Ovis aries: one gene and its partners. The protein of the gene in region 5 purifies or fractionates together with the protein of the main gene of each other region. This does not show direct contact. Links are inferred from orthologs where the notes say so. Each region holds a gene or a part of one and is shown on either strand. Other genes may lie near its edges.

Region 1 (3,500 bases), on a different chromosome or scaffold from region 5:
AAGGCTCTTTTTGTTCATTCATTCACATTGTCTCTTACTCGAGAGCATGTACTGAGCACTTCATGTGCACCAGGTGCTGTTCCTGGTGACAGAGGTTGATAAAACAAGACAAGGGCTGAACTGGAATATTGGGATTGACATGTAAACACTACCGACACTATGCATAAAAGAGCAAACAAAAAACTACTGTATAGCAGAGGGAATTCTACTCAGCACCCTGTGGTGACCTAAACGGGAAGGAAATCCAAGCAAGAGGGGAGATACATACACATATAGCTGATTCACTTTCCTGTAGAGCAGAAATAAACACAGTACTGTAAAGCAACTATACGCCAATAAAAACAAAATGAAAAAAATAATACGAACGAGACAAGGGCTCTGGCCCCACTGAGCTTTCACTGCAGATGACCAGTGAGTGATACTCAGTCTCACGTGAATAAACAGTCTCACGGGAGAAAATGTGCCCAGACAATGAGGTGATCGGGGAACAGAGAGCGACCAGGCTCAGGGATTGCCTGAGGGTTGCTTAGAAAGAGTGACCAACTCAAAACCAGTGTTCAAATAAATAGCTGTACACAAATGTTCATGGCAGCATTAGTTGTAGCAGCCAAAAGGTGGTAACAACCCAAATGTCCATCAACAGTTGGACAAACTATGGTCCATCCATCCATACAATGGAGTGCGATTCAGCCATAAAAAGGAAGGAAACTCTGACGTGTGTCAGTGTGGACAAACCTTTAAAACACAACCGCTGGTAAGTTCAGCTGTGGATGACCAAAACACAGAAATATGAAACAGCTATCAATTGACAATATTTTCCGAAATAAACTAATTCAAACTGTCAGCTAGGTTCTTTGACAGTGAAAAATAAAAACCCAAACATACTAATGTAATGAAAAGCATGATCCTCTCTTTTATGATGTTATCTTACTGTGAACTGAATTGATAAATGAATTTTAAATTGGCTAAAACAAACAAAAATCCACAATGTTGACTGAAAGAAGTCAGATAAGAAAGAATAAGTATCAAAGGATTCTATTTTTATGAAATGTCCAAAATGTAAATTCCACAGAGATAAAAAGACTCATGGTTGCCAGTGGCTCGAGGGAGGAAGGCTTGGGAGTGACAGCTGATGGGGAGGGGGTTTCTCTGCCTACACCACCCCTCAGGGAGCAGGGGAGAGGCGAGTGACCCTTCCCCTAGAAGACCAAGTGGGCAGAACATCTCTTGAGTCCCAAGGTCACTGACCACGCTCTCCTCAGAAGGCACAGTACTGGGAAGGTAGGGGTCTCACAGGAGACCACCAGGGGGCTGGGTGAGCACCACGTGGCTCAGCTCTCAGGGCCACAGGGAATGGGGAACAGCCCATGAGGGGGCTCAGGCTGCCCAAGAATACCAGCCTGAACTCAGGGACACTGGCAGGTCACTGGAGCGAGGCCAGGGCTGTGGCTACAACTGACCTTTTCGATGTTGAGAGCTTTCATCTGAAGGATCAAATCCTCCACTGGCCTCCGGGTGATTTCAGGAGGCGGGTACTTCTCAAAGTCACCGAAAACTGCAGATGAGTAGAGTCTGAGCAGAAGGAAGCACCAGAGATTAAAAAAAGAAAAGGGAGTAAACAAAGAGACTCAGCCAAACTACCTGGGATTGAATCTTGACTCTACCACCTTACTAGGCAAGGTATTTACCCTCTTCCTGCCTCACTTTCCTTACCTGTGAGATGGGCTAACACAGCAGCTACCCTGTCGAGACTGGGAAAGATACTTTATTTATTTATTTGGCTGCGGCGTGCAACATGTGGGATCCTAGTTCCCTGACCAGGGATCGAACCTGCGGCCCCTGCACTGAGAGTGTGGTGTCTTACCATTGAAGCACCAGGGAAGTCCCCGGTGAAGATACTTTAGGTGTCACACAGAGTGCTTGGAACTGTGCCTGGCACTTTATTTCTTACTACTTTTCTTTGCATAGTTTCTCATTTTTTTTTCTTTTTTGTAATTTAAAGCAAAGTTGAAAAGAACAGTGTAAAGTTAGTTATTGAAGGAAAAAAAAAAAGACCAGCACATAAACTGGGAGAAAATTATCTGCCAATGATACCTCTGACAAGGATCTACCTCTGACAGGATCATCAGGGAATACTTACAACTCACCAATCAAAAGACAGACACGACTGAAAAATAAACGACAGATCTGAATAGACATCCCTCAAGAGGACACGTACAAATGGCCTATAAGCATGTGAAAAGATGCTCAATGTCATTAGAGAAATGCAAACCAAGACCACTGCGATATACCACCTGTACTTTCATTTCCCATGAAGTGGAAAACGGCAAGCATTGGTGAGACGTGGAGAAATTAGAACCTTCACACACTGCAGGTGGGAATATAAAATGGGGTGCCTGCTGCGGAAACAGTCTGGCGTGTTCCTCAAAATATCAGAATCACCACATAACTGTGAGATTCTACTCCCTAGGTATTTACCTGAGAGACATGGAAACAGACATTCAAATACTTGTACATGAGTGTTCACAGCAGCACTATACACAGGGGCCAAAATGTGGACGCAATCCAAGTGTCTTATCAGCCGATGAACAGATGGGGTCCCTCCAGTGTGCAACAGAATGTTGTTCTGCCATTAAAAGTAACGAAGCACTGACACAGGCTATGGATGAGCCTTGAATACATGATGTGGGGTGAAAGACGTCACATACAAAAGGTGACATACCGTCTGATTTCCTTTACAGAAAATGCCCCGAATGATCAGATCCATACAGACAGGAAGTAGATAGTGGTTGCCAGATCCTGGGGGGTGGGGATGGTAGGGAGGTGTGGGGAGAAACTGATTACTGGGTATTGGGTTTCTTTTGCAGTGATGAGAATATTTGAAAATGAACAGTAGTGGGACTTCTCTGGTGATCCAGTGCCTAAGACTCCACACTCCCAATACAGGGGGCCCAGGTTCATTCTCTGGTCAGGGAACTACATCCGACACGCCACAACTAAGACCCGGGACAGCAAAATAAATAAATAAAATACATTTTTTTAAGAAGAAAATTAATAGTGGTGATGGTTGTACAACTCTGAACATATTAAAATCTACAGAATTGCACATTTCAAAATGGTGAGCTTTATGCTATGGGAATCTGATGCCAATAAAGCTATTAATAAAATAAAAACAAAGGTGCTAATCAACACAGGGCCTGCTATCAGTAGCAGAATAACGAACGATGCAAGTGCCGACCTCCAGCGGGACATGGGGCCCCCTTTCCCCGGACGAGGGTGGGTGACCACTGCACAGTAGCCCTGAGGACACTGAGGGGCCCCAGGGAGCCCCACCTGTAGCAGTGGCCGGGCTCTGTCCGGCCCGCGCGGCCAGCCCGCTGGTCAGCTGAGGCCTGGGAGACCCAGGTGACGCGGAAGGAGGACACGCCGGTGACACGGTCGTAGTGCCGCTTCTTGACCTTCCCACAGTCCACCACGTACTTGATGCCCGGGATGGTCAG
Region 2 (3,985 bases), on a different chromosome or scaffold from region 5:
ACAGGGTCATCGCATCAGACCCATCTTTAACTTTCCGGCCTCTCCTCTACTCCCCAGTAAAAGACCCTTTCTGGTACTCCTTTGCTTTGCAAATGCCTTCAACTTTGGAAAAGCCCTTCCTTACATTTTGTCCTCACCTTTCAGCAGCTTTTCTGCCAATTCCAACATGGCAGCTGAGCTGTCCACGCACATATACTCACGTAGGCTCTGACCCCAAGTACTATGAGCAGCCCTAAAGTGGCAAAAAATAAATCTTCAGTTCTTACGACAAAGTTATTCCTACAAGAGACCCCTCTGTCCCTAACCCAACCTTGAGGAAACAGAGCGCTATGTTAAAATAGTTGGAAAAACTAGCAATCTTATTTTCTTGTTTCATCTACAACTGTTAAGAAGACTCAAAAACTATATGAACACACACACAAAAATCTTGCTGACATGTAAATCCCTGTCCGAGATCAAATTCCTTTCCTTTTTTATCCTTCTAAATGTGGGTTTTTTCACTTGACATTTCTTTAAGTTCTGACCCTAATTTATATACCTTCTCATGCCTTGTCTAATCTGAGGGAAGAAACACATCAGTTCCAATTTTCTCTTCTTCCTTTGGTTCTCCAGTGTCTTGATATTGACGTGGCATAAGCTAGCTCTAACTCTCTAGAGTTGGAACTGACAGAGACAGAGAAAGATACTCACCAGGTGACAGAGCCAGTACCCGAGCCAAAGTCCATCAAGGTTTGTGGCTGGAAGTCTGGAAGGCGAGCTTGGATCTGAAGAAATATTCAATACCCCACAGTGGGGAAGACAGACACTTATTTAGGGTCTTGGTAAACATGAATTAGGGGACCGCAACAGAGGAAATGAGCTGTGAATGTCAAGATTCAGTGTAAATGCCTTATAGAATAGAAAGGTCTTAGAACAGTGATTCTAAACCTTTTTTTGGGTCAAAAATTCCTTTCAGAGGATAAAGACAACCTCTCGAAAAAAATGCACATGTAATGTCCCAAGAATCTTGCCCCAGATTACTTTATGAAAAAGGGAACTGATAGTAAAGTTTCTGGTTGGAAGTTGAGGGAATTTCACCTCATGGAAAGCTCTGGAAACTGCTGCAAAGCCACCATCCAGTCTTGCTGCCATATACACCAGGCTCAGTCCCTCATTGTAGCTGCCAGAAAAATCAGACATACCACTGGGAATTAATCTCTATCCTGCAGCTACCCTCCAGACTTTTAGGAAATGAAATCTTTGCAAAGGGCTCTTCCAGCTCAACCCTTTCACTGATCAACACAGACAAGTCTTAGGGAGGCTTATAAACCAGATTGCCTTTTCACACACTAAATGGTGTAATTGTATTTCCCCAACTCTCCTTCTCAAAAGCCAAACTTTTCCTTCTTCTGCAGCCCTTCTAGTCTCCCTTACCTCAATTCTTGCCAATGATAGGTAGTTCTGCGCAAGGCACGCAGGACTTCTTCATGATGTTTCTCTGTCTGACATGAGTCTGGGGTAAGAACAAGCACTGGAAGTAAGGACCTAGGAAGAACAGGGCTCAGATACAATATCTGAATTTACTGCCTGCCATTCCCTACCAATTCCCACATGGAAAATGCTTAAGAGAGAAGCCAAACTAGAGAAGAGTTTCAGGTAAGAATAATAATGACCACCACCACCATAGTATATCAGATAATATATTGCCTCTAACAGCAATTCATTCAATTCAACCAACTCTATCTCACAGGTTTTGTTCTGTATTAAAAGCAAGTGTAATAAAAAGTTAAAGGATAGGATAGACAGTACTTTGTAGATTTCTTCACTTCCCCCCAATTTAATAATGTGATGTCTCCAAAGTTCCTATAGGAAGGAAAGGGGCTTGAAAAACTTGTCTTACAATTGTGTTCACTTCAGTACTATTTTACCTACGGAGTGCCTACTACAAACCAGGTACTACAAGAAGTCAGGGAATAACTCATTGATCTTTACTAAAGCCCTGAATTTAATAGGCAATCTCTGAAATTACTTTTCTTCTTTTAGAAAGGCAACATTATGAATAACTACTCTGATTAGAAAGTCAAATAAGAAATCGCAGTATCTATTTAAGAGGCTGCAGAATTATTACTAGCTCTTCATTTCCCTCTGCTCTTTCTATTTGGCTTACTCTTTATTTTTGAAAAGACCTACCTGCGTTTTCCAGGATTTTTTTCTCAAGAAGAACAGCCCGTCTTTGTAGCTCCTCTGGCTCTACAGGTAAATGCCGGCTCCAGAGATAATTGGTTAGGGCTTGCACCTGTTTCTCCATATTGGGCATCGAGCTCTCTATGGACCAAAGATGCAAAGAGGAATCACTTGTACGCAGGGTCCAATCTTCGCTTCTTGAGCTTCCATTTCCCATCTTTACTCACCTAGCAGCAGTAACTGCGCGGCTTCAGCCAATCCTTGCGGCAGCCGCACGCATGACAGCTGCAGGATGCCAGGGTGCCGGCGATGGGGCCTCTTCCCCAGGAAATCGGACTTGTTATCCACGTGGGATACGCCGGGCACGAGGGCAGCAAGCGCCTGCAGAAAAAGGAAAGCTAATAGGGGGCACAGAGGATGGCTGCGGGAGGCTAAAGGAGGAGCTGCCGAAAGCGCACCTCCTCGGAGAGGAGCTGTTCTTGAGGTCCAAAGCTTCTTTTGAAAGCAGGGAAAATAGGTACTCACTCGGAACTGGGGCGCTATTCCAAAGCTGCGGCGCCATCTGCCTATTGTCAGCAGATACCGCGACCCTCTAACGGTCGCCATGGCGCCAGCGGTGAACCGGAACCGGAAATTTAGGTGCAGTGTCTGTCACTCTCACTAGCTGCAGCGAACATCCTGCGCGAACATTGGCGCCGGGCAGTAACAGCCAATGCGGAGAGCGAGTGCTTGCTAGTAGCCAATAAACAATCGATCTGTAAATCGCCTTGGAGGCCGTTTGTGCACCTCAATTCCAGCGTAGCTAGCCGGAAGCTAGGTGACTTCCACCCTGCGTTGTGATTTGTCTCCGCCTCCAGAAATTGGAGGGGCGGGGTTAGGTAGGTATGGGCTGACCCTATGCTGGGTTCGCCAGAAACGCGTCACAGGACGGCGAAGGATTTGTGTTTGTATTAACTACCAGTGTTCTTTCTTTCACCTTCTGGAGAACACTGAAGTCTTAGAGTTTTTACCTCCTGTGTGAAATGGAGTAAAGTATAGTCGCTCAGTCGTGTCCGACTCTTTGCGACCCCATGGACTGTAGCCTACCAGGCTCCTCCCTCCATGGGATTCTCCAGGCAAGAGTACTGGAGTGGGTTGCCATTTCCTTCTCCAGGAGAGACTGCAGTAATGGGAAGATGATCAAGGGAAGCCAGATTTAGGCGACCAAATTGATGGAATAATAGATAATAGATTTAATGTTTCTTACTTGTTAGTTTCTCTTAATATTAAACCAGTACTTTTAAGCCAGGTAAATAGCTACCATGAGAACCTTATGTGACAGGTAGTGTGGCAAGCGCTGTTATATGGTACTACCTTATTTAGTCCCCATACTTCTAAAGGATAGATTTTGCACCCAAGGAAAGTGAAAGTTCAGGTGGCTAAATATTCCGCTTGAGATCCAAGAGCTTGTTAGGTGAGAACAAGTTCTAAACCTTGGCAATCTAAGTCTGATCTTCACCTTTAAACATATGCTCTGCTGGTAGTATTGGTACATAGAATGCAAGTTAGCAAGTGCCAATTTGTCAAGTGCTGATGACAAATTGGTACTTTCTATCTGGGGGCTTCCCTGGTAGCTCAGTTGGTAAAGAATCTGCCTGCAATGCAGGAGACCTGGGCTCGATTCCTGGGTTGGGAAGATACCTTGGAGAAGGGAATGGCAACCCACTCCAGTATTCTTGCCTGGAGAATCCCATGGACAGAGAAGCCTGGGAGGCTACTGTCCATGGGGTTGCAAGAGTCAGACACGACTTAGCAACTAAACCACCACCGCCATCTACATCTA
Region 3 (4,120 bases), on a different chromosome or scaffold from region 5:
ATCATCACAGGAGGATGCTCAAAGGGCCGTTGCTATCAGCGTCCCCCTCAGTGGTGCTGTGCCACCCTGGAAAAAATTCCTTCAGGCTCCTTCCCATCCCCCAAGGCAGCAACAAATCCTTCTTCTCGCCTTCTTTTGGACAAAGCAGCCAGAGATTTAAAAGTCTTTGGTTCATAGATGGCTAGATCTGCAAGTACTTTCCTGTTGAGCTCCACCTGGCACTGGGAAGAAAATCTTTGTTAAATATTTTAGCATTTCAGTGAAACATAAAATGACTCTGAATGCAGCTGATCACCCTGTGATTTCAGTCACCAATACATACTGCTTGAGCACTAGTGGGGGAGAGGGCATTGTGAGTCTTGTCCAAGTAGGACACGTGAATAGAAGGGAAGGGCGCAGCTCCCAATGCCAGATTCCTGGCCTAAGTTATCCCTTTAAGACAGGTGGGAAGAGGAAACCACAATTTCCATTGTATAAATGGTGAAAAATGACACATGGAAAAGGAATGTGAGGCACAGAAGCACAAGGACCAAAACTGGGCATTCTGGGCTTCCCAGGTGGCTCAGTGGTGTGAAGAATCTGCCTGCCAATGCAAAAGACATGGGTTCAATCCCTAATCTGGGGAGGTCCCACATGCAGTGGAGCAACTAAGCCTGTTGTTGGCCTAGTGCCCCTGCCCTACAAAAGAAGCCACTGCAATGAGAAGCCCACGTGCCACAACTAGAGACTAGACCCTGTTCACCATGACTAGAGAGGGCCTACATGCAGCAACAAAGACCAAGCACAGCCAGAAATAAACAAAACTGGGCATTCCTAATTTCCGTAAGAGAGCCCAAGTCATCTGTCGAGTAAGAGAATAGAAAACCAATGGACAGTGCCTGTGAGTCTGAGGTGCAGGGAAAAAAAGGGGGTGGTCTTATGACATTAAATGCAGCTGTGCAGGAGTGACTCCTACTACCTAGGACCCCTGTGCAAAATCCCTCTCCTTTCTAAGCCAGTTTCCCATGAGTAAAATGGAAGTGTCACACCTACACTTGCCCTGAGGATCTCTGTAAAGTGCCAGGCCCACCTGGCACAGGAAGAAGCACAGCACCAACTCACCTACTCCCCAAGCTTTTTAAGAAAAAATTTAACTCATAAGAAAGCAGAGGGAGTAGGGACAGACTTCCTGGTGGTCCAGTGGTTAAGTCTCTGCACTTCCACTGCAGGGGGTTCAGGTTTCCTCCCTGGTTAGGGTTAGGAATTGAACCCTGGTTGGGGGGAAGTTCCATATGTCATAGGGTGCAGCCAAAAAAGCAGAGGAAATGGCATACTGTCTAGATGCCAGGGAGTGAGATGCTCTGACACTTGCTTACTCTAACATTCCAAATGTTTTGCTACATTTAATTATGTTTCAACTTGATCTGCCACCTTGTCATAATTTATTCAACATGAAAAATTTGAAATTAAACTTCAAAGTTAAAGCAAAGTTTTTCTGTTTTTCATTCTTGATGGGGAAACAACATGATTGTGTCTTGGTACCACACACCCTATTACTAATTCTGCTACCAGCAGGGCAATGAAAGAGCAAGTGAGGTGAACCCCAGAACCCACCAGAACCCCACCCCAAGAGTGAAAGCAGTGGGCCCCAATGCCAACTCTTAAGTCCTCTGTAATCTTGGATTTCTCTAATATTAATAAAGACACCGCCGCCCCCCCCCCCCCCCAAAAAAAGAATGAAAACAGTGTTAGGCTGCTAATACTCCACGGTGGAGCCTGCTAGAGCATGAAAACTGGACGGGTTATAAAGACGTTCAATGTCTCAGCAGGACCACATCCTCGACCATACCTTAATCAAATTGAGGATGAATGCTGGGTATTTCAGACCATGTTCCTGGGAGGCAGCTGTAATTCGATTAATCCAGAGCTGAAATGAGAAAACGTCGAAATGTTTGAGAACCAGCTGTATGTCACGTCCACACCTCCCAGCAAAGGTTCTGACTGAACTAAAAAAATTTTTTGTAAAAGCAGATACAAAAGTCAGTGGCCTATGCAGGCTGCACTGCAAACAACAGTGAGCAAAGCCTGGTACCCTTCGTCCAAATGCCAGGTGTAAAGCTCACATCTCGCACAGTCGAGCTGGAATACAAAAATCAGCGAGAGATGCTGGGGCAGACACCACTCCGGGTGTAGAAAAAATCCCTGTGTGGGAATTAGGACAGCCACTGAGACGGGTGCTACCAGGCAGGGACGGAGCGCTCCAGGGTGGAAGCTTCAGGAGGTGAGCAGCCTGGAGGGGAGAAAGCGGGGGCCCCGCGAAGGGCCGGGGTTACGTGGACAGTGGCGTCCGCTCCAGGGGGGAAAGCTGCGTCGGGAAAGCTGCGAGGGCGGGAGGGTTCGCCGGGTCGGGGCCACCCACGGCTGCAGGGCGCCGCGGGCTCAGGAGGGCAGGGTGAGGCCGAGAGGGCCGCGCTTACCGTCCGCAGGTTCCTTTTCTTCAGACTGCGGGCTCGCGTGCATCGCACGAACGCTCGCGTCACAGCCCTGACGGCCAGCCGGTAGCACCGATTCTTCCTCCCTTGGAAGTGCTGGTTAAGAAACGAGAGAGGATGCGGTCGGCGGGGCCCGCGCATGCCGGGCCGGCCAGGGGAGCGGAGCGCGCGGCACACTCACCCGCGCGTGCTTCAGCACCTCCTGAACCCTCCAGTAGCGGTCGGTGATGCGGTTCCGCAGCCAGAGCGGCGCACTGAGGAAGACCATGACGCCGGCACCGCCGTTTACCAAGGCGTGTGTTGCTCGGCCGCCACACCCCTCGAAAGCTTCCGGGTCAACTCAGCCCTCCTCAAGAGAACTTCCGGCCGTCGCGCGTGCGCTTCGGGCCCGCAGCGACAACCCGCCTCTGTACGCATGCTCAGGCTAGGGGGCGGGGTGGTGGGCCCTCCCGCGACCGGGCCTAGGCGGGGGTCCAGCAGAAGGGTGGCAGAGAGTGGTTCCTTCTGCGGACCCGAGCAACGCTGCTTTTCACAGCGGGGCAGAGTCTCCATTGGGCCACTGAGCTGAGCACTTTCAAATGATTGGAATGACAGGTTTTATCCCGTGTGTATTTTGTCACTGTTTTACCACAGGCCAATGCAGGAGACGTCGGTTTGTTCCCTGGATAGAAAAGATCCCCTGAAGAAGGAAATGCAACCCACACCAGTATTCTTGCCTGGGAAATCCCGTGGACAGAGGAGCCTGGCGGGCTACAGTCCATGAGGGTCACAGAGTTGGACCCGACTTAGCGACTGAACAACAACCACTATATTACCATTATTACGGAAAATAATGAAGAGGCAAAGTGGGCGTGTGCAATTTCTTAGTAACTTTTCATTTAATTGTAGTTTTCAGTTCGGTTCAGTCGCTCAGTTGTGTCCGACTGTTTGTGACACCATGGACTGCAGCATGCCAGGCTTCCCTGTCCATCACCAACTCCTGGAGCTTGCTCAAATTCATGTCCATCCAGTAGGCGATGCCATCCAACCATCTCTTCCTCTCTCGTCCACTTCTCCTGCCTTCAATCTTTCCCAGAATCAGGGTCTTTTCCAATGAGTCAGTTCTTCAATCAGGTGGCCAAAGTATTGGAGTTTCAGCTTCAGCATCATCAGCCCTTCCAATGAATATTCAGGACTGATTTCCTTTAGGATGGACTGGTTGGATCTCCTTGCAGTCCAAGGAACTCTCAGGAGCCTTCTCCAACACCACAGTTCAAAAGCATCAATTCTTCAGTGCTCAACTTTCTTTATGGTCCAACTCTCACATCCATACATGACTACTGGAAAAACCATATCTTTAACTAGATGGACCTTTTTCAGCAAAATAATGTCTCTGCCTTTTAATGTGCTGTCTAGGTTGGTCATAGCTTTTCTTCCAAGGTGCAAATGTCTTTTAATTTCAAGGCTGCTGTCAGCATCTGCAGTGATTTTGGAACCCAAGAAAATGAACTATGTCACAGTTTCCATTTTTCCCCATCTATTTGCCATGAAGTAATGGGGTCAAGGCTATGGTTTTTCCAGTGGTCATATATGGATGTGAGAGTTGGACTGTGAAGAAAGCTGAGTGCTGAAGAATTAATGCTTTTGAACTGCGGTGTTGCAGAAGACTC
Region 4 (4,063 bases), about 20 Mb from region 5:
TGAGCCGCTCAATGCGCCTGTTGACCTCTGGGTAACGGGTACCACGGTAGGGGATGCGCTGCTCTATGACCCGGCCTGTCAGTGAAGAGCAGTCTTTCAGCTCACACAGCCGCCCAAAGAGACGGATCAGCTTACGCTTCAACCTTGCTTCCTGCAGGTAAGTGGAGTCTGGGTCATCCAATTCTGAGAGATCCAACTCCTTTTCTTGCAGCCGCCGGATCTCTGCCACATACAGTGCCAGCAGCTGCTCCAAGCGCTGGATCTGCCGCCGGGAACCACGGGTCCTTGGGGCCTCAGAGCCAGTGGTCTCAGCATTTGGGTCCGAGGAGGGGTCTGTGGGAGGGTTATTCCCAGAGGGTTCACTAGAGGTGGTGGCAGCAGGGGCCAGGTTCAGCTTCTTCTTGGCTGAGTGGGCCTTGAGAACCGTGCAGAGCTCGTTAATGTAGACATAGAGCTTAGCTGGCCGGTTCTGGGCCCGAGAGAGGACCCGAGACAGGATGTTGCAGAACTCCGCCGAGGCCAAAAACAGAGGGTGGGCCCGCTGCTGCCGGTTATAGAGGAACGGGACCACCTCAGGGTGGTCCGCCGTCTGCGTCTTACACAGTGCAAGGAACTGGAAGGTTCACGGGGGAAAAGGGAGGAGAAAAAGACAAAAGGATAGGGTTGAGAGAAAGGTGAGGTGGGGTTAGTGGGGGAGAAAGGACAGAGCCAAGCAGCCATCCCCCTCCCTGGGGCACGACAGTCTTCTCCCCTAAAGCTCACCTCTTCAAACAGCTTCTCATTCTCCAACTTGTAGCATTTCTTGCCGCCCGAACTACTGCTTCCTCCAGCCCCATGGGGCTGAGAGGAGCCAGGGGCTTCTGCCCTGGGTGAGGCCGGATTAGGGGGTGGGTGGGAGGGCCCTGGCTGAGCAGCTGCTTCATCTTCATCATCATCATCCAGCACGATGATGCTGTTAGCGGTAGCCATAGGGGATCAAATCCCCCGGAGGGAGGAAGTGTTGGGGATTTCGTAATTCCTGCTGGAAGGGGATGGGGCCTCAGACAGAGCCCCTCCAGCACCGCCCCATCCCTTCATCTCACACGTTTTCCAGTCTTGGGTTTCAAAAGCACCCAGCCATGCCCAACAGTGTCCTCATTTCCTAGCTTCAGCAAGCATTAGTACTGTACGTTTTTCCGGCCCTTTACTAGGGGAGTTCCAAACCTTCTGAAAACCTGAAGTCCCACCTCCAGCTCCACCCCCCACGCATGTATCCGGTCTTTCAGTCTCGTTTTCCCCACTATTTCTCAGAGTTGCCAAGTTGAGTCTTCCTCTCAACCCCTGGACGACCTCTCTCGCTGCACTACAGATTTCCTTGACATTCTCTCGAACAGACACCACAGCCCCGCTGGCACCACCGTTTTCCCTGTTCGCTCTCTCTCACACATATCAAATCTATACTCTCACCCCATTCTGAAAGATAACCCCAACTCGGAGACCCCTTGAGAAGGAGGTTCCCTCCCAACAATCCATTCCCTTTTCTCCTACTTAAATTATCTCTATATTCCACCCTCTGATGGGTCTCCTCAAACCGAAGCGCTAGGTTGAAGATATTTCACCCCAAGTCCCCTCCTTCTCACCCCACCCTAATTTCCCCCATTCTCTCTCAGTGACCTGTAACCAATCGTGAGCTCCACGCTGGGCTCTCCCGATTTCTCTCAGATCCCAGCCCTGAGTCCAGTCCTTCCCCTAAATGAGCTTCCCGCCAAGTCCCCCTCCCCCAGTTCAGCCCCTGGCCGCCCCACTCCCCTTCAGGGATAGGAAGGAGGATCCCACAGCCTGCCCCTCAGACTCCGCGCCGGGGACTCCCCAGTACCTCTCCCTCGACAGTCCTGCCCCCGCCTTCGCTCCCCACACCGTCCGGCCCCCACCTCAGAAACGGTCTCTCGAGGCGACCCTCTCCGCGGATCTCAGAACCTCGCATGGTTCCCTCCGTCTTCCTTCCCCCTCCCACCGCAGGCCCCACTTCTTACCGGAAGCCGCGGAGCTTCCGCCCACACGCTCTGGGCGCGGCCATATTGTCGCACGGAATCCTGTGCCGCCGGCAGGCAGGCAGGCAGGCAGGGAGGGAGGGCCGCCCCTCCTAGAGCCTCCCCTGCCGCCCACCTCGTCTGCGGCTCCTTTCACCCTGACCTGCAGGGGGCGGATTTGTCGCCTCCGGGCGTCCTGAATACCTGGGGGCCGCCATCTTGGCGTACGGCTCTGGCTGCGCCGGGAGCGGGGCCCGCCGTCAGTGGAGCTCTTTTCACCCGGTGCTTCCGCGACTCCGCCAATCAGAAACTTCCCGCATCCCGGCCCAACCACCGCTAGTCGCGTGCGGGGAGGACTGATCCACCTTTCTACGTGGGGGGGCGGGGGGCCGGGTCGGGGGAGGAAATAACGGAACAGCGCGGGGTGAGGAATTGGGCCCTCCAAGGCTGAACAGGGAGGCACGGAAAGGCAGGAGTGTCTTAAAAGGGAAATGAAACCTTTCCTAGCCGCTGGGCTTTTGACAAGCCTTGTGGCGCTACTTTCCTACCTGCCAGGTCCCGGTTTCCGCGGCTCAGTCGACTGTACCTGTCATTTCTTTCTGTGGTCTGCGCGCTCCCTTGCAGCTGCCCAGAAGCTACTTCTACATCCAGGTGCCTACATCTCCCAATCATGAAGTCGTAACACACGCATACAAACGAGCACAACACGCTATACAAATGTGTTCTTATTATTGCGATTGTTGGCGTGCTTTCCAAGCTCCACCACAGAAGTAATGACCAACCAAGTAGGTGGGACCTAGTTGGTTCTCCGCCGTTTTCTGGAGGGGGTTCCCGAGGCGCAGGCGCTGATGACAAGGAGGCTGTGCTTTGTCCAGGACCTCTAGGGCCTGAGGACAGGCAATGTGGGGAGGGGGCTCTGAGCAGAATCTGTAAGAGCTGTGAGAAGAAACGAGGCTCGAGGCTCGTAAAATACCTTGAGTCTCGTCTCCTCCTCTTCCTCTGGGAGAGCTGACGAAGGAAGAGAGAAGAAACCAACATTGGCGCCCGCCTCGCCCACACCCTCACCCTAAACCAACTTTACGGAAACTGGAGGGGCTCGAAGAGGCAAAGCTGGGCCCAGAGGTGAACTTCTGAGGAAACCGGAAAGGTTAACATGGTTCCAATCTCTCAGTTTCCCGCATCCTGGAGAATTCCACAGAGGGTGAGCATCTTGCCACTTTCTAGGACCACAGTCTCTTACATCCCCAAGCCCTCAGGAGTTCCAAACCCTCAAACCCTCACTCCCATTAAAGAATCCTACACCACTTCTCTCCAGTCGTCTAAGCCTGTAGTCTTAAATTGGGGAACACGGAGACTCGCCTAAGGATACTTGGATTTGGGACATATAAAGGATTAATTTCCAGAGTCTCAGTTTTCCCAAAATTTGTTTTCCTGAATAAATGCTTGCACTAGAGCTTCTCCTTCCTTTTCTCTTTTACAATAGACTTTCTCCCTCTCTATTTAAAAAGGAAAAAAAGAAAAAAGGTATAGTTCTTAACCATGAAATCTAGGGATAACTTTACCTTGTTTTACCTTGGTTGTTTTTTGTTTGTTTTGGGCCACGCCCTGAATCTTGCAGGGATCTTAGTTTCCCAACCAGGGATGGAACTGGCCCCCAGCGCAAGCAATGAAAGCACCAAGTCCTAACTGATGGACCATCAGGGATTTCCCTTACCTTGTCTTAAATAGAAATGTAACAATATTGCAATGTAATTATCCTCTAATTTAAAAAAATGACATGTAGCCTATTTCTTTTAAGGCATCATAAACACCATCTCGTCTATCTCATTTTACATGTACTTTTAAGTTATGAAAATGTGTACAATCTTTATGCTATTTTATCACTTCTGCTCTCATAATAATTGTAATGATAACCCAGAAGAAATATTTCTAAAAACCTAGAGTTTTATGGTCACAAGAAAGAATAATATTTTTCATCTCAATTATGATATGTATGTGTAAGAAAGCGTGATAGGGGACTTCCCTGGTCATCCAGTGGTTAAGACTCTGTGCTT
Region 5 (2,559 bases):
CTTCTGCTTGTCCTCAAAGCTTGTCTCAGCTGTCACCTCCCCAGAATCGTTATTACGTATTCCCCCATGTCTCGCTTCTTCACAGCACTTTAGACAGGTACATTACACATATTTGTGACTTGACGAACATGTCTCCTCTTGTAGATTTTAAGTTCATTGATTTTGGCTCTCTGTTATTGCTATAGTGTCTTGTATGCTGCCTGGCCCACAGGCACTCTACCAGTATTTGCTCAAAGACTGCTTTGCCACCTCCACTCTATAACCATAAACACAGGTAAAATGTTTAAAAATGACTCCATGGACAGGTCGTTCCTTTCTCCAACAAAACTTAGCCCTTGAATATAATGCAGCTGGTCCGGTTGATCTCCACAGGGTAAGGGGCCCCGCTGGTTTCTTCAGACTGGGAAAAACATGTCAACATTCTAAGTGAAGCATACACTGACTCCCAGCCTCCTCTGCACTTCAAGAGATGGCCGCAACACAGGGATTAAAGAAAATGCTTGTTTCCACTGCATTTATTACTAATATAAAAAAATGTAAAAAAAAAAATTCATTCTCAGTTCTCCAACAGCTCTCATCCCTCCCTCTTGCCCACACAACTCCTGACCCATTTCCTCAGGGCCAGTTCAAAACTGAACCTGTTCACTGCCGTTTTCACAGAAAACAACCAGTGCCAGGGATGCAGGGGAAGAAGGCTGGAAGAGGGCGACAGTACTGTCCGAGTTCCACCCACTGGCCAGGTGGAGATTCACAGAATTCAAATGAAACGGCTGGTGGCCTCACGATGATGCAGTCTAAGATGGGCTGGAGAGAGGAGAGGCCCATCTGAGCCTTCAGATGACATCTCTCGGGCCTGTGTCAATCCCGAGGAACCGACATGGGGAGGATGAGACGACCAGGGAGGCGGTCTTGTGGAGTTTCACAGTTCTTCCTCGTCGGGGGGTGGGGAAAGTCTAGGCGGCACCAACGGCCCCACACATTTTGGCAGAAAAACTTACTCTAGTGTTGGGAGGTCACGAAAATGCCACGGACACTGAGAAAGGCTATGGGGGTGAGGGGCAGGGGGATGCAGAGTTTCACAAAGCACAGTGAGCACAGACCACAGCGGTGGGGATCATGCTACTGACGCAGGAACTACCAGATCCAAGAGCGGGGAGTGTGGCCTCTCGGGAAGTGACTCTGCACCAGTCATCCACACTTGACCCCAGGTCAGCCAACCGGACGGGCGTCACAGGGCCGCCGACCACGCTGGGGCAGGGGTGTCACACGAAAAGGACTTAAAAACAAGCAGCGAGGAGGGGATGGTAGGAAACTGCTCCAGGGCTCTCAGGAATCCAGGGCGATACCGGGGGCTGGGTGGACAGATGCACAAGAAACAGCACCAAAGAGGTTTCCTGTTCCGCAGTCAGCCGGCGAGGGGGAGGAGGACCCAGGAGGCAGCTGAATGGAGCAGGGACGGTCCTGGAGATGTCTCTGGAGGCTGGATCAGAAGAGTGCACACCGCACACCAGTCATGGAACACAACTCTGGGCCCCCAGTGGGAGGGGGCGGTGAGGGGGGTGGGCGTCACTGACTGGGGGTGGCGCGAGGAACAGCCTCACGGTGGCCAGCACAGGGCCGCAGGGGAGAACGTGGCCGCCAGGCCGGGGGCCCCTTCCAGTCTGGGTGGGGAGGCGGCCTCACAGCGGGGGCCCGTTGACGCCCGGGTGGTAGAAGGCACAGAGGTCCTCGTATCGACAGTGGCCCTTTTTGGCGAAGTGTCGGCAGACGGGGCGGTCAGATTTGTCTGTGAACAAGCAAAAATCGGGCAGTTTAAAATGTAAGAACAAACAAATCTAACAAAAAGCAGAGAGAGAGAAGGTCAGATTTCCTACTTGCTACCATTTCCAGGTATTATGGAATGACAGACTTTCTCGAGGGAGAAAAAACATTCAGGGCTACTCCTACTCCAAAAGGACAAAGGACAACCCAAAGCACAAGAGCCATGGGTATTCTAGGCATGAGGTCGCTCTGGGAGTGATGGGTATTAAATGTGTGCAGGCATAAAAAAATGGACCTCACCTTCCATAACCTGGGGTCCATCCTTGGGTGGGCAGGTATTCTTGATAAGAGACCAGCTTTTGAGCCTTCGAGGATTTCTCTGTTCTTTGTGAAAGCCTCCCCTGGAAGGACCCCCGTGGCCTGGTCCAGGGAAAGGAGGCTCGGCATTGACCCCCCACCAACCACGACCATATGGGCCAGACCTGGGGCCTAGGCCTCCCCGAATTGGGCCTCTGCCCCGGGGAGGAGGTGGGAGACTCAGCAGTGGTGGGATCATTGGTCCCCTTGATCCCGGAGGACCTCTGTGAAAAGCTGAAGAGACAGACAGAGACAGAGAGAGACACGGGAAGATCATCAATGGCCAGCTTAATACAGATAATGCAACCCTGATTTTGTTTTAAAAACATTTTATTGAAGTACAATATATACACCAGAAATACACAATTTTAAGTCCTTAACTCAACTATTACCAAGGTAAGCACACCTGTGTTCCCACTAAGATAGGCTAGAGAAGGGACA
Region 6 (4,176 bases), on a different chromosome or scaffold from region 5:
GTGTTCCAGTTTCAGAGCTGCTTGGATCTTCCCTTCAGAAGTAACTGGGATCCCATCAGTGACAGCACTGAGAAAGAGGCAGGAGGACGTCACAGAGTTGCTTGCTGGGACCTCCCCGCTGCCCTGGAGCTTCCCAGCCCTTCTCACCAGTACGTGGCTGTGGGTCTCCTGGCTCTCTGTGAGTGAGCAAAGAACTTCTGGAGGCGGCTTGCTGTCTGGGGACAACTGGAGAGGAGCACAAGCCCCGAGGCCTCCCTGGAGAAAGACAAATCACAGAAGTTAAAATCCCCTGAGATCACCCGCAAAAAGAGGAGACCCTGAGGAAGAAACACGGACCCACTGAAGGCCGAGGAGTAACATCTGGACTACAACACAGACCTCCTCCTGAGAAACAAGTAAGTCTTCCCCGTGTTTGATAATAAGAGTACATAGCTTAAACATGTTTCTCATTTTGCTCTGGCTCCCAGGGAGCTCAGAGCCAAACATCATAACAATTACTACCAACTGCTGACTGTCTACCAATAGGCACTCTACTAGGAATTTCATATATACTAGCTATTAAATGGGCTTCCCTGGTGGCTCAGATGGTAAAGAATCTGCCTGTAATGTCAGAGATCTGGGTTTGATTCCTGGGTTGGGAAGATCCCTTGGAGAAGGGAATGGCTCAATTCCCCATAAACAAGCTTATGAGTTTGTGGAACTGCAGGAACATCTCATCTCAAGCACCATCTCTAACAATGGCTATTAGAGGAAAGAGTATCACAGATCAGTTAACAATGCCGGCTATGAATACTGGACTGGAGAAGTGACTATACACTGAGCACAAATGTTGTGAATTCTGTTTTATGGTTAAAGAAACTAAGGCTCAGTGACACCTAAGATCAGTTTGTACATAAGGATTTGAACCCAGATCTGTCCACTTCCTCCTCTTTTTCTTTGTTTCCTACCTCTGTGATCCCAAAGCAGCCAGTGGAAAATGTCTGTTTATTCCTAAGTGGCTCTGCCCCCATCCCAAATAGATGCTTATCTTCCTACCTTTCTATCACTTCCACCACTTACTTCCCAGATGCTCGGACAACCTGGAGCTCCTGCTCCCCAAGCCCCAGGGACTGGCTCAGTTCTGGCAGCACTGACAACAATGTCAGCTCTCCTGGTTTTCCTAGGTGGAAAAAAAAAAGGAAGAGTAAAAGTTGCTCTCAGAGGCAACATCCCTTCTCTTTGATACTGTCTGCTCTCAGACACATCAAAACCCCTTTCACTGCATCTCTTTTCCCTGCCCATACCTGTCACTGGCAGACCCTGTGGCTTGTTCAGTGTCACCAGAGGTCCTGAAACATGTAATACATAAGCATCAGCAACAGAAAAAGCAATTTACAAAGACTTTCTCAATTCATATTATCATGTGGTCCCAGTACAACTCTCATACCGGAGTTATCAACCACGCCCTGAAATGAACTTCTTTCTGAACCTTGCATATGCTCAGCTTGCTGCCTCAACCTCAGGACCTTTGCACTTGTTGCTTTCCATGTCTCAGATTTTCACGTGGCTTGCTCCTTATATCATCATGGCTCAAATGTGATTGTCACAAAGAGGCCTGGGTCTCCAATCTGATGTCTGTTCCTTTCTTGCAGATCCTTACCACCGCTGTTTTATTAACAGTACTGATCACTAGTAAGTATTTTTTTCATTTATATTATTGTTAATCATTTTCTCCCACTGAAAGGTTGGCTCCCTGAAGGCAGGAACCATATTTATTTTGTTCAGCACCAGACAGCCCTGTTCTAGAGCAGTGCCTGGAAGACAGCCTGTGCTCAATAAATAGCTGAGAAAATTCATAAATCACTTGAGACTGAGGCACAGAGACATTGTTATTTTCCTAAAGCCACACAGCAAGCTGATCACAGAGCTAGATATGACTCCAAAGCCCGTTTTGTCCCCCAATACATTAACACTTTACTGAGAGCCTACTAGTGCAAAGCTCTCTGGTTATTTACACTCTCCCTCCCCACAGCTGCATCCCATGATGCTGAGGCAGAGAGAGTACGTGGCTGGTCCCACGTGGTACGTGGTTAGTACGTGGCTAGCTGGTCCCACGTAGCCGTGAGGTTGCGAGTGGGAGAACCAGGATTTGACCCCACAGGTTTTAGTACTCTACCGAACCAGATCCTCAGAAGGCTCGGGTTAAGACTCCTCCCCTTCCAGGTCTCTCGGCACCTGTCCCTCCCACCCCTCACCTTTACGGTCCACCACAGCCGCCCTTAATACATCGACCAGTTCTTCCCGACTGAAGGTCCCCGGTCTCAGCAGTCCTGGGAAACACTGGTCACCCGGGGGATCCGACGGTTTGCTGGCGCCTCGACGTTGCAGCTGATGCCTGGGAAAGGTTAGGTAAACAGAGGAATCACTGCTTCCGGAAGTGCCGCCCACTCTTATCTCCACACACATCTTCCCAAACCCTGCGGCTTCTTATGAATGCTTCAGGAAGCCTGGATTGAGCTTCCCGAAATCTCAGGTTCTATTGGCCCCAATGTACCGAAAAGAGAACTGAGGCTCAGAGAGGTCTACGACTAGTTTAGGGGCACACAGCAGAGATGAATTAGAACCCATATCTAGATCTCTACCCTCCCCCAGCCCCAGTCTCCTCCCTTCTACACAAAGCGGGGCGGAGGTTGTGTAATCACCGGGCCTTGGTGCCAAAGCCTGCGGCTGTGGGCGTTGCACGGATCCCCAGACCCCGCCGCCAGCCACCCCAGGCCTGACCCAAAACCCGACAGCCACCCATCTGCGGAGCGAAGACAGTGCGCTTGAGTCCGGAAGGACTGCCCCGGGATCTCCCACAGCACGCTGATTGGTCAGATTGACTGTCAATCGGAATAGCTAGGCACCGAGTGGTGAGAAAGAGGAGCTTTGCTTTTAACCGGGAAGGAAATGCAGAAGTTCACGATCTGTGACTTTGAGGAAACCGAAGCACAGAGCCGAGCAGGTATTTACTGCAGGTCAGAGGACCGGTCTTAGGACAAAGCCAGGTTTTCTCCTCATTGCAATTCTTCGGAGTCTTTTGACTTAAAAAAAAATAAAAAACCGCCACTGTGCATAATTTTGTAAGGCAAATTGGAAAAAACAAAATCCGCACTCATTTGTTCAGTGAACCTGCTTCAAAGCATACAGCCTGGTGCGTAATCCAAAAGGGGGGAAAAAAAAGGCCAAAGGCAGAAACAGGTTCACTACAGCATTATTTATAAAGGTAGAAATAAATCTCAAAACTGTAAACAAATTGTCCTGTGATTAGATTCATAAGGACATAAATTCACCCATTCAACATTTTTTGAATGCTAACTCTATGCTATGCCTTGGCATCTGTGAACTGGAAACAGATTAACAAAGAGGCAACTAAGATCCCTCATGCCAGGTTACGCAGCCAAAACAACAACAAAAAAGTTAAGCCAAAATATAAAAGACTATGATTCATTAAAAAAAATAAATAATAAAAATAAGTAGAAGTAAAAGATTTTAAAAGACTGATTTCTGATTTTAGTTACATGACCTTTTGGGAAAGTCAGTGGTTGACAATGACAAGGGCTGGAGTGGGTGAGGGAATGAGAATCTACTAAAAATGGGCATAAGGGAACTTTTTGGTATACAGTGATTATATATCTGTATGAATCTGCCAAAAACTTACTGAACTAAATACCTTAAAAGGGTAGATTTTATTGTATGTAAAGTATACCTCAAGAAACTTAGTTTTTTTAATTCAAAGATTTAAGTAGTCAATTTTTAAAAATAATTTTTAAGTTAGTGTGTTGTATTTTCATTTTTATTCAGTTCAAGAAGTTTTCTTTTTATTTTTTCCTTTGGCACTACCACATGAAGGATCTTAGTTCCCTGAGCGGGGATCAAACACACCCCACTACAGTGGAAGTGTGGACTCTTTTAACCACTGGACTGCTGGAGAAGTTCCTAAACAGTCAATTTTTAAATAAATCTGCACAAATTCAGACAGGACTGGCATGAAATTTGGCAAGGATGCAAGTGATTTTATCATATTTGGGGCTCAGACATGAGTGTGCTGTGTCAAAAAGGCCCCACGGTATTTTAGAACCTCTCTTCTGAAAGATCTCCTGTGCATTCATAATTTGCAGCCTGAATAAAGACGGAGGGACAGGACACAACCTACTT
Region 7 (3,500 bases), on a different chromosome or scaffold from region 5:
TTTGTTAGAACCCAATTTGTATTTCTTTATATCAGTTAAAAATTTTTTTTTTACCTTGATAGAATGGATAACAGAGACAACGTTCTTGCCTGGAATACTAGTTTGAACAATATAGTGGATATTATCTTTGTGCTAAGAATATTATTTCATTGTTAAAAATTGAAACTAGAGATAATGGAGGCATAAAAGATATGTAATGCTTATTGTTTTTCAAGGTTCAGATGGAATATTTAGTACCTACCATCTTTTGATCTGATTTTACTTATTTGAATGAAGCTTAAAGGCATGTTATCAGTTAAGATTTCAGTAAAAAGCAATAATACATGCTGGATTCCAAGTTTTTCATATACAACATTTTAGGAATAATTCAGCCAATTGCTTATAATAATGTGTGTCCCTAAACCATTTTCTCTTATGTAGATACTGCCAAGCAAAAAATAAAATAGTAAAAAATACATTTTCTACTTAGATACTCCTCTTTTTAAAAAGATTTTTTGAAAAATTTCCTTGAATAAGAGTGATTTCGAATACATGAATACGTTTGCATAGAAATTATGTGGTAGACTTATTTATAGACTCCTCTGTAAAAAAAAATATATATATATATATATTCAGAGGGACTGTTTATACACACATGTGTTTATATACGTATATATACATACTATACACATGCATTTATGAGGAAAATTTTCCTATTTTCTTTATAAAAGTAATATATACTTGTTTAATAAAAATTAGAAATACAGGAGAAAATCATAATTATAATAAAGTATAAGAATAGTTATGCTTTAGAAACTGATTATCTTATAAATTCATTTTTCCTCCTATGATACCAGTATCTGCCATTTTCCTTTCCTTATAGGTTGTAGCTTTGCTTTCTTTATTCTCTTATCTGTTGAACAGTGAGATAAAGAATTTCATATACTTTTAGACTTTGTAGTTTTAATAGACAAGGCCTGAAACTGATATAGCTTGGTGAGGAATAGATTAAGGACTCTTCTGAAGATGTATTTTTGAATGGTGAATAATCTTTCTTTATAATCTTTCTGGAATTGCTTCTTGAAGAAAAGGTATTCATAGTATTTATAGTTAGAGTTTTCATACTAGGATGGCAAAATATAGATCAGTTAATTTCTTTTAATAAAAACATTTTATTAGTTATTTTTAAAAGTTTAAGAAACTATTAAAACATGGAAAAATGCCCATATCCCATGTTAAAATTAAACCAATGTTTTTAAATTGTCATTTTTTACATAATAATTTGCTTACAAAGAATAAACATCTTTTCTATAAGAAAAATGAGATATAACTGAGTTATCAGAATTCTTTGTTTGTTTTGAATGAAATTGTAGATGGAAAGGTTTATACAAATGCTTTGTTTCTACATGCATGAAATTTGAGGGGGAGCCAAAATTTGGGGAAGAAGAGAGAAAAGCTAGAATAGAGCACAGAATCAAAGATCAAATTGGAAACTGCAAAAATGGGCATTTAGTTCTATTGGAAGCATCATTTTTATTTTAATAAGATATTACCCTTAATTAAGTTCTGTTACCTAGTTTTCAGGTAAATAATCTGCTAGCGTAAGAATGATGGAATTTTAGAGGTATAACTTGATAATTCATTGAACTTCAATTCCTAAAGACAAAAGCCCTGAAAAGTTGTTTTTTTATATTTATCAAGTTCTTAATAATTATTCACATGTTTATTCATTATATATTTTTGTTAGCATTTTTAGGCTTTAGCTATTTTATTTCATTTGTGAAAGAAATATTGAATCCAAGATATTTATTGAAACAGAAGCAGAATGTGGGGATAAGCTATTTTAACTTATTTTGAAGGCAGAGTAATTATAATTGCAAGGCTCAGTGGAAGTTTATGAAATGTTTATGACTTATTCTTTTTATGTTTTGTTTATGTATTATATGTAAACACAGCAAAGCAAATGATTGTTGTTTAGTCTCCCATTTGTGTCCAACTCTTTGTGACCCTGTGGACTGCAATATTCCATGCCTCTCTGTCCCCCACCATCTCCTGAAGTTTGCCCAAGTTCATGTCCATTGCATTGGTGATGCCATCCAGCCATCTTATCCTCTGACGATTTTCACCTATTTGCTGTATCTACCCAATTATTTTTTTCTTGCTTCCTTCCTTTTTTTGTTCACATATTTCAAAATCAGTCTCTCACATCATGTCATTTTACTCCTCTGTATTTAGATTTGAATCTCTTAAAAAATAAAGGCATTTTTCCTATACAATCAAAATCCAATAATCAGTCCCAATAAAATAATCATTTCCCCAATTCTCAAACTATATTTATTTGAAACAGCATTCAGGGAGGACTCACTCATGCACTGTATTAGGGTGTCTTGTTTCTTGAATCTCTTGTGATCTAGAGCAGTTAGTTCCTTTGTTGACTTTTCTTAGGAAACTAGGTCAGTGGTATTATGACATGTACCACATTCTGGATATGTCTCTTTTTATTGCTATACCCTGCGTATTTCATGGATGTGGTTAGCTCTCAAAGCTTGATTAGATCCAGTATTTTGGCAAGAACATTTTTTTTTCTTTTGGCAAGAATATTTATAGGTAATGCTGTGAACTTTATATTATACTGCTTTAGGAATTACTTAATGTCTTCTTTGTTTTTTAATGTCTGGTTTTCCACTGAGATGTACGCTTTTAAAAAAATTATAAAATTCTTGACTGCCATTTTTGCTGCATTTATTCATAGAATTTTAAAACAGAAGAATCTTAGCATTTATCTAGTTTAATCCCTTTATTTAACAGCTAAAGGATATTAAACCTCAGATAAATTAAAAGACTTGCCCAGGATCACCTACCTCATTAGTTGTAAATTTAGTTCTGTCTGAAAATCTTCTCTCCTGACTCTAGTCCAGTATTATTTCCATTTTGCCATGCTGTAATTTTTAGTATGCTTTTGAAATCTGTTTGGTTTTAAGATATATGCAAATGGAAGAGAGGTGGAGTAGGTGGTTTTCTAGTAACGGCCATTAGCATAGATGTATTTAAATAATTTTAAAATGTTAAAAGACATTAGGCATCAATATATGACATTATAATTGTTTAGGATTTCTTATAGACTGTCATAAAAGAGGTTAGGAGTTTTGTAAGGGAAATAATACTTTGGTATCTAAATTAAAAATTTTTATAGGTTGTTTTTAATATATTTTTGTATTTTTTAAAAAATGCTATCTTTGTAAGTATACCCTAATAGTACAACCCTTTCTTCTAAATGTAATAGAAGAATGAAATTGCCTTTTAAAATACTATTCCATAAATCACAGAATCATTGAACTTTGGTTTGAAATGGAGTCTGCTTGGATCTTATGTGTAACTGATCTTTGCTTCCTCCTTTTCACTCAAGAGTACTGATGAAATCTCCAGCTCCAACACTACACCAGCCTCAGAAGTACAAAGATAGAGGAATTTTGCATCCTAAACGAAGCACTGAGGACCGGTCAGATCAATCTTCTGTGAAA

What was found.
Region 1: the proteins of PRR3 (region 5) and DHX37 purify together in Homo sapiens (co-immunoprecipitation; 3 studies listed by BioGRID and IntAct, with this or other methods). This does not show direct contact. The link is inferred for Ovis aries from reciprocal best matches to the Homo sapiens genes PRR3 and DHX37.
Region 2: the proteins of PRR3 (region 5) and METTL17 purify together in Homo sapiens (co-immunoprecipitation; 3 studies listed by BioGRID and IntAct, with this or other methods). This does not show direct contact. The link is inferred for Ovis aries from reciprocal best matches to the Homo sapiens genes PRR3 and METTL17.
Region 3: the proteins of PRR3 (region 5) and MRPL20 purify together in Homo sapiens (co-immunoprecipitation; 3 studies listed by BioGRID and IntAct, with this or other methods). This does not show direct contact. The link is inferred for Ovis aries from reciprocal best matches to the Homo sapiens genes PRR3 and MRPL20.
Region 4: the proteins of PRR3 (region 5) and DAXX purify together in Homo sapiens (co-immunoprecipitation; 3 studies listed by BioGRID and IntAct, with this or other methods). This does not show direct contact. The link is inferred for Ovis aries from reciprocal best matches to the Homo sapiens genes PRR3 and DAXX.
Region 6: the proteins of PRR3 (region 5) and RPUSD3 purify together in Homo sapiens (co-immunoprecipitation; 3 studies listed by BioGRID and IntAct, with this or other methods). This does not show direct contact. The link is inferred for Ovis aries from reciprocal best matches to the Homo sapiens genes PRR3 and RPUSD3.
Region 7: the proteins of PRR3 (region 5) and YTHDC2 purify together in Homo sapiens (co-immunoprecipitation; 3 studies listed by BioGRID and IntAct, with this or other methods). This does not show direct contact. The link is inferred for Ovis aries from reciprocal best matches to the Homo sapiens genes PRR3 and YTHDC2.

The regions. Positions count from the first base shown.
Region 1 is NC_056070.1:50,903,202-50,906,701, reverse strand, and holds part of DHX37 (probable ATP-dependent RNA helicase DHX37), read right to left. Parts: coding exon 3,334-3,500; intron 1,573-3,333; coding exon 1,461-1,572; intron 1-1,460. UniProt on the Homo sapiens protein: ATP-binding RNA helicase that plays a role in maturation of the small ribosomal subunit in ribosome biogenesis. Required for the release of the U3 snoRNP from pre-ribosomal particles.
Region 2 is NC_056060.1:24,452,300-24,456,284, forward strand, and holds the start of METTL17 (methyltransferase-like protein 17, mitochondrial), read right to left. Parts: upstream 2,801-3,985; 5' UTR 2,770-2,800; coding exon 2,689-2,769; intron 2,545-2,688; coding exon 2,391-2,544; intron 2,305-2,390; coding exon 2,170-2,304; intron 1,493-2,169; coding exon 1,414-1,492; intron 1,160-1,413; coding exon 1,078-1,159; intron 765-1,077; coding exon 691-764; intron 233-690; coding exon 138-232; intron 1-137. UniProt on the Homo sapiens protein: Mitochondrial ribosome (mitoribosome) assembly factor. Binds at the interface of the head and body domains of the mitochondrial small ribosomal subunit (mt-SSU), occluding the mRNA channel and preventing compaction of the head domain towards the body.
Region 3 is NC_056065.1:50,449,560-50,453,679, reverse strand, and holds the start of MRPL20 (large ribosomal subunit protein bL20m), read right to left. Parts: upstream 2,801-4,120; 5' UTR 2,740-2,800; coding exon 2,653-2,739; intron 2,568-2,652; coding exon 2,457-2,567; intron 1,907-2,456; coding exon 1,829-1,906; intron 222-1,828; coding exon 48-221; 3' UTR 1-47.
Region 4 is NC_056073.1:7,643,072-7,647,134, forward strand, and holds the start of DAXX (death domain-associated protein 6), read right to left. Parts: upstream 2,801-4,063; 5' UTR 2,558-2,800; intron 2,328-2,557; exon of another isoform or gene 2,013-2,327; intron 1,982-2,012; exon of another isoform or gene 1,856-1,981; intron 1,022-1,855; exon of another isoform or gene 1,019-1,021; 5' UTR 970-1,018; coding exon 763-969; intron 614-762; coding exon 1-613. UniProt on the Homo sapiens protein: Transcription corepressor known to repress transcriptional potential of several sumoylated transcription factors. Down-regulates basal and activated transcription.
Region 5 is NC_056073.1:27,530,346-27,532,904, forward strand, and holds the end of PRR3 (proline-rich protein 3), read right to left. Parts: intron 2,353-2,559; coding exon 2,062-2,352; intron 1,787-2,061; coding exon 1,680-1,786; 3' UTR 501-1,679; downstream 1-500.
Region 6 is NC_056072.1:16,849,285-16,853,460, reverse strand, and holds the start of RPUSD3 (mitochondrial mRNA pseudouridine synthase RPUSD3), read right to left. Parts: upstream 2,801-4,176; 5' UTR 2,783-2,800; coding exon 2,682-2,782; intron 2,375-2,681; coding exon 2,235-2,374; intron 1,329-2,234; coding exon 1,284-1,328; intron 1,160-1,283; coding exon 1,060-1,159; intron 256-1,059; coding exon 148-255; intron 68-147; coding exon 1-67. UniProt on the Homo sapiens protein: Catalyzes uridine to pseudouridine isomerization (pseudouridylation) of specific mitochondrial mRNAs (mt-mRNAs), a post-transcriptional modification necessary for their translation.
Region 7 is NC_056060.1:2,411,301-2,414,800, forward strand, and holds part of YTHDC2 (3'-5' RNA helicase YTHDC2), read left to right. Parts: intron 1-3,385; coding exon 3,386-3,500. UniProt on the Homo sapiens protein: 3'-5' RNA helicase that plays a key role in the male and female germline by promoting transition from mitotic to meiotic divisions in stem cells.